Drosophila melanogaster: one gene and its partner. The protein of the gene in region 1 purifies or fractionates together with the protein of each later gene. This does not show direct contact. Each region holds a gene or a part of one and is shown on either strand. Other genes may lie near its edges.

Region 1 (3,600 bases):
TATCAACATTTCAACTGGATGTCACAGAGAAGTAATAAGTAATAAGTAAAATGGTAATATTTTATTATATTTTGTCAGCACTTTCTGAAATGGGTTGGTAACCAACATAAATAAATGTAGGAGCACTAATTTCTACATGAAAAGATATCATTTTATTTATTTGTATTTGTTTATTCCATAAGAGCCATTTGATTTTTTTTTACCAGTTTCTACCATTATCTGTGTATAATAATATATATTTGAGAGCTTCGGGGTATTTTACGATATCTATTAGTTTTTATACTTTTGAATGCAAATATTCAAACGAATTGGGAGAGATAACGGTTGTCTATATGTATATCATTAATATAATCATAAATAATATTGGGCCTAACATTATTGTCTAGAATTCTAAGTTAATTGGGTTTTTTTTGTATGAATATAATAATGATACAATTAAAGAAAATTAGTATAATATTGGAATCCATTGGTATTTTTATAAGTCATACATATGTATGAAGTAAATGTCCTTTGTATGTATATATAATATATTTTGAGATAACCTTCTTTATAATTAATGTATTTATTATATCAGTTACATAGTACCTCCCGTAACTCCAGAAGTGTTATCCATCAAAATTACTATCGATGGGTAAAGTAATACTTTATAATACTATATCATATATATCAGGTATATCCCCTTACCTTGCCGGCCGCCTTGATGTAGCGTCGCGTGGCCTCCTTGACGAGATCGCGGACGAGGAGTTCGCCGGAACCACAGGGAACCAGAATGCGAACGTCGCCGAAGCAGACGGTGACCTTCATTTCGTACTTTTCGTGTTAACAATAACTATTATCGTCTTCGATCTGCGATAATAAGTATGTATTTTTGACTGCTGCAATGCACTTTTTATTTTGCACACACATATATGCACTTGATTAAATTGGGCGATCGTTTCTTTAACTTATTTTTTTCTCGAATTTTTCGGATTTTTTCCTATTACTATTTTGTATGCAGCTACTTTTTTTTAACGCTATGCTCGTCTGCCTGCAGCAGCTTTTTGTTGTTCTTGTTGCTGTTGTTGTTACGACCGCATCATCATCATCGTCGTCGCTTTCCAGCTATCGCCATCCTTGTTGCTCCTTTCGCGTGCACAGTGCGCTTGTTGTTGCTGTATTGTTGGTTGTTAGGCAGCTGCAACAAAAGTTGGTCTAGGGCGGCATGGGTGCGAGCGAGATGGCTGCGTGCCTGGAAAAAGGATCGGGATCGCTTTCCAGTATGTACTTGTAGTCGCTCTCGCGCGCTCTCCCTCTCTGTCGCTCTCTGGAAACTGGAACTCTCTTTTGCTATTTACTTAGCATATTTCACCGTAAGGCATCGTTGTTATTGTTTGTTTTGTTGTGTTTGTGTGATTCATACACGCGCGCATTAAAAAAAACGAGTTACAACAACGGCAACCATAATAACAAGAACAACAAACAGCGGGCCAAGATCATTTATTTACTTCTTTTTTTAACGTTCTTCGCTCTCGCTCGCAAACTTGGCATTTGTTTTGGTCAAATTATTATATATTATGCGCTGTAGATTGCATGGTTTTAAATTTACGGTTCGATCATCGTTTTTATATCTTTTCTGTTACTCTCTTTTAACGTTGCTTTTGTCGTGTTTTTCGTTTTCGGTTATCTCCTTTTTCGCCCGTTGGCGTCGCTTCTTTCTTGTTGTTTATCACTTTCAACTATTCATATTTCGATTGCAAGTGGAATAGTATCGTTGACCGCCACTCTTATTAACGAACTATTTGAACTCAAAAAAATGCAAAAAAAATCCACGAGCAGCGCGTTGATTACTGCGCTTCGAGTTCGAATTCGCCCTGGCGAGCAACAACAAATGACCAAAATTCTGGGGATGGCAGGCTCATCGATACTATCGGAACAGCAGCTTGGCTTCTTCGCGGTATTTGGTTATACTTTACTGGGCGGTCACACTACTGCTCGTTATCTCCCGCTTATTTTAAAATCAGGGATTGGGCTAAATGCCATCTAATTCTGCAATAAGTTTTATTGAATTTGCATTGCTTTATATAAGTCAGCCTATTAAATAGAGATATTGATTAAGAGGTAATTAATCGTCTTAAAATATTAAAGTGTAAAGATGAAAATATTTCTTATGTAAGCTATGTATAAATATAAAATACTAGGAACAACCAATTTCGATAGGATTAATTGTATAGTCCTAAGAACGACAGATAGTGTTATCAAGATCGAGGAGTTTGAATCGAGAGCTTAAAAGAGAATAAAAAGAACTTAAAAAGATTGCTACACCTATATATATATTCATATATATATAAGATAATATAAGAAGATGTTCGATTTCATTCAACAGTTTAAGGAACGCCCCAAGCATTTCCTAATTTCCTAAGAATATATGTTTACCAACTCCTGTTAACATTTTATTTATTAGGCAAATACATTCATCTCGAATGTAAAACATTAAAATTTTCAATTAAACCTGAACGATATTGTGTGGGTGGGATAGCCATTGCGGTATTTTTTTCGCGCCATTTTCAGATTTGCGTTATCGATTACCGGCAATCGCTTGACGGCAATATTGTAACAACAAAGCACACATTCGCTCTCATTCAGCTAAAAAAGAAACTAAAAACCTTAAACTATATTCGATCGATGGCAGAACCCCGTCCCGGCGGCTACAACTACAAGACATTATTGTGAGTAAAAGTTCGTTCATCAAAGGCAGAGCGATGTCAACTATAGTTCCATACGAATCCCCAGATGCAGAAACATTCCGGAGCTATTTTTGGACAAATATGTGGCGCGTTCGCACTTTGGACGTTTTGGAACCCTCGTAAACTTCGTCCTGCGTCCGCGGCGAATGACCTGCACCGTAAGCTATGCCAGCGAGGACGAGGCGGCGCGGGCGCTTCTCGATGGCGCCAGCTTTCAGGGTCACCTGTTTGATATATCCTATGCTGATAACGAGACGGCGCCGGCACAGAAAACGGAGGAGTGGGTGGATCCTGACATTCAGGCGGAGTTGAGTGCACTGCAGTCGGGCTGGCGCAATGAGTATGGGTCGGGCAAGCCGATAAAAAAACCACAAAATGGCAGCAGTGGTAGCGGTGGCAGTTCAATGCTGCCTGCCATACCAGTTGGGCCCGCAACGGCGCCGGTGAGCAGAGATCGTACGCCTGCCCAGCTCAGGGATCTTGAGAACATGATGCGCAGACCCGCCCATACAAGCGAGGAGAAGTTCAGCGTGCTGGATGCCCGCGATAAGCTGCTCCGGTTGAACCGAACGCAACACAAGCTGTCCGGTGCCACCCAGGGTCACTGCGCCGATATGTGTCCGGAAAAGGAGCGCGTGCTGAGAGAATTCCAGCGCCAGGTAGCCTACTATGAACTACAACCGGGCTCCGATGAGCTAATCTGTCACGAAAGAGCCCTGAAGCAGTACTCGCGCAGCAGTGCCGACCAGGAGACGCCACTGCCGCATGAACTGCGCAATGAGACTGCCCTGCACATGACCATGAGCTATCTAATGCATGAGATCATGGACATTAGCGAGCGCCAGGATCCGCAAAGCCATATGGGCGATTGGTTCCA
Region 2 (3,780 bases), 540 kb from region 1:
TTCCAACAGCATCTTGCCGGCCTCCTCGTTCAGCGCCGATTCCGGATTCGGGACAATAAGCAGGCATTTGATGGTGAGCAGAATGTGCTTGATGCCCAGATCCGGCTTCCAGTCCTTCTTTAGTGTGTTCACACAGATCTCCCCGTTGGCGGCCACATTCGGATGAAAGATCTTGGTGAGGAAGTACGCCTTGGGTGGCGTCAGCGGGAAGTCCTTGTTCAGCGTCAGTTTGACGCGGAAAATTCCAGCGGCGTACGGAGTGCCAGCAGGTCCATCGATCAATGCCTGAATATCCGTCACATCGCTCTCATTGATTAGCACCTTGATGCCTTCCGGTGGCGTGGTTTCCATCTCCTGCAGCTCCCTCATCACCTGCCTTATCGTCTGCGGCGACAGGTTCTCCACATTCGAGTATTGCTGCAAATGGGGGAATGGCATTAGTATGGAATGGCAAAAGTTTATATATACAAAAATTGATTTTAATGACAGGGTTGAGTCATTATTTCTAGTTGGAATTGTACTTATTGGAACATACGAACTTTAAAAATGGATGGCAAGTACAGTACAGTACTTGTAGGCAAGGATTATTACATACAAACTTAACTAACAAAATCACATGTCTCCACAAACAGGGTATTTATTAATGAAATTCATACTCTTAGTATGCTGGAAAGTATTTGTAAGGACGCGATTTTAAGCTCTCACTACTAAACCATTCATAAGATTAAGAAGCATCTGTTGGATAGGATTCTTTACAATCACGGATACAACTTCTTAAGAATCGTTTCGTATTATTATTATTAGAATGCTAACAATTATGTGAGGAACATGCTCATCCTACCGAACTCATGATGTCTGAATTTCCTGCTGCTGTGCGTGTGTGTGTCTGTGTTGATGCGGGCCTGCGCTGGTGTGCGTGCGAATCGCTGTCTCAAGGTTTCAGTTTCGTCAGCTTATTCCTGCAGCTGAGCTCTTCGGCTCTCGGATAGTCGCAATTTCACCGCCTTTTCCCAGCTGCCTTGGAAAAGTGGTCCCAAAATATATGAATATGTGCGTTGTGGGCTGGCTTTAACTATTCCTTTGCGTGTAGACTCCTTATGCTTCCTTTGGCCCCGCTAGTCTCCTTGTCTGTTGTTTGGGTTTATGTTTTCACACGCACTCGTTTAAAGACTATATATATATATGTATTTGGTATAGCACCTCCTCTCGAAAATCTTGATTTTTAGTTTTTCTAGCGACTTAAAATTTTGTTTCGTTGGTTGCTTTTGTTTTGAAATCGATTCGCTCAACTTTGTCGTAGCTGCTGTGTGACCTATCTCGACTCTGGCGTTCACATCTAAACAAATTCAGTTGTCTAATTGGACACTTCACGCTCGACAACAACACACAAAAACAGTTTCATTTTACAGTAACCCTCGTCGCTGGCGCTGCGCTACAATTGGGGCATATTCGTGCTGGCGTCTTGCCTGCCTTCGATTTAAAAGCGGGTTTTTATTTATTTATTTAAAAAACGTCTTTGATTAAAACTGAGCATTTAAATATAGCTAATTCTTGTCTTGTAACAGTTAAGCCTCTTTTTTCGTGCAAACAGCAGCCACTTTGCAAATGTAGCGCATCTGAAGATCCACCCAGCCCACACAAACAAACTGTCTCTACACTAACGCAGCAACATGGCTGCTCAGACTCTATCGATATATCGATATATGCACAACATCGGTTCATGCCTAAGTTACTCTGGGAAATATTTAAAAACAAACAAAGAACATACCGTTATTAAAAAAAAAAACTTATTGTTGTGATAAATTCAAAACCTTTGCTAGCTATATTGAAAACAAATTATTATTATTTCTAAGTCTTTTTAGATACTTTCATTGTTGTTTAAATCTATTGCTTATAGCATATTTGTGGTATTTTAGAAAACTGAAATGGTATATTTTGGTTTTGCATTCCCCACGGTCACTCTGGATCTATTACCATCCGATAACCGATAGTGCCTACCAATATCGAAGTACGATAGTGCCCGATAGGTTCATCCATCCATTTTTTTTATTTAATTAGTTTTAATTTAGATTTCTAACTCTAATTTATTGGCGGCCCCCCACTATCGTCGCTCCCCGCCATCGGTACGCTGCACTTTGGTTCGGTTTCGGTTCGCATCGGGCGTATCGGTTCGATTTCGATCCTGAAGATCAGATCAGAATCTGCGGAACTCAACTGCCGTGTTTTGTGTTGTGTGTGAGGAACGGAGAGGAAAACTGTCAGTGCACTCTTGATCGGGCGGATCGGAGAAAATGTCGAAGAACAAGATAAACACAACGTCCGCAACGGCGGCCAGTGACACGAATCTAATCGAGGTGAAATCGAAGGTGAGTCCTAACTTTCGTGGCCCCCGGATTCCACGCCCCTTTCTGCGGCGCTGAGCTGCTGATTCATGCGCTCAGGAATGGGATTAATAGCTTAAATTGGAGTTCTGTGCGTGGAAAGGGGGTCTTTAGTCTGAGGAGCAATGTGTCTACCAATTTGGGAACTCCTATCTGTTGAGCTCGATTGTGTCAAAGCGGCCAGAGCAGGGATTAATGCTTGGAGTGCGAGGTGTGAGGAGCAACTGGTTTCCATCTTAGAAGCACCCCAAAAGTGACAATTTGCCCTTGCGAATGCATCTTACTTGTCGGAATTCCTGAGCTCTGATATGGATTGTTGCAACACCCTTTATTGCTTGGGCTCTTTGCCTGAAAACCAATCTGTTGCGCCTTACTCAAAAACTACCCTGTTTCGTTCATTTTCTGTAATTTTACAGAGAAGGAAACTTCAGTTATTAATTAGTCAAGGTACAATTCTTCAAGATAAACTCCAGTAATAGCTATAAGGCAGTAGATGTACTGCAATTCAGTGAAGGTCCCATTAAATTAGTAAAATGTCTGCATACAATTGAATCAACAGGTGATGCTGATGAACAAACTATACGGGTTTCAAAAGATTCAGCCCCTTTACTAATCAATACGTATCCTTTAGTTCGATGCAGAGTTTCGGAGGTGGAGCTTCAAGCGAAATGAGGCGGAGCAGAGCTTCGACAAATTCGCATCCCTCATTGAGCAGCTGCACAAGCTGACCAACATCCAGTTTCTCATACTCTACATCGATCCGCGGGACAATGATCTGTTGCCGATTAACAACGACGATAACTTCGGCCGGGCCCTGAAAACAGCACGTCCACTTTTACGGGTCATTGTGCAGCGAAAGGGTGAGTATGGGTATGCATAAGATACAATACGAGCCACTCAACCACAATCTTTTCGTTCACTCTATAGATGATCTTAATGAGTACTCTGGCTTTGGAACGATGAAACCGAGAAACCTCATCGGCAGCATACTGATGGGCCATACGCCAGTGAAGACAAAGGCGCCATCGATATCCATACCGCACGATTTCCGTCAAGTCTCGGCCATTATAGATGTGGATATAGTGCCGGAAACGCATAGAAGAGTGCGGCTACTGAAGCACGGCAGCGATAAGCCCCTGGGATTCTACATACGGGATGGCACCTCTGTCAGGGTGACGGCCAGTGGGCTAGAGAAGCAGCCGGGCATTTTTATATCCCGTTTGGTTCCGGGCGGTCTGGCCGAAAGTACTGGCCTGCTGGCCGTCAACGATGAGGTGATCGAGGTAAATGGCATCGAAGTGGCTGGCAAGACTCTGGATCAAGTCACCGACATGATGGTGGCCAACAGCTCCAATCTGATAATCACCGTGAAGCCGGCCAATCAGCGCACACTGACGTC

The links.
Region 2: the proteins of baz (region 1) and par-6 purify together in Drosophila melanogaster (affinity purification with western blotting; 7 studies listed by BioGRID). This does not show direct contact.

The regions. Positions count from the first base shown.
Region 1 is NC_004354.4:17,158,276-17,161,875, reverse strand, and holds the start of baz (bazooka), read right to left. Parts: upstream 1,871-3,600; 5' UTR 805-1,870; coding exon of another isoform or gene 685-804; intron 1-684. Other genes in the region: xmas, read left to right, coding at 2,662-2,705, 2,770-3,600.
Region 2 is NC_004354.4:17,701,360-17,705,139, forward strand, and holds the start of par-6 (par-6), read left to right. Parts: upstream 1-1,992; 5' UTR 1,993-2,291; coding exon 2,292-2,366; intron 2,367-3,012; coding exon 3,013-3,241; intron 3,242-3,308; coding exon 3,309-3,780. Other genes in the region: CG8188 (uncharacterized protein), read right to left, coding at 1-417, 842-850.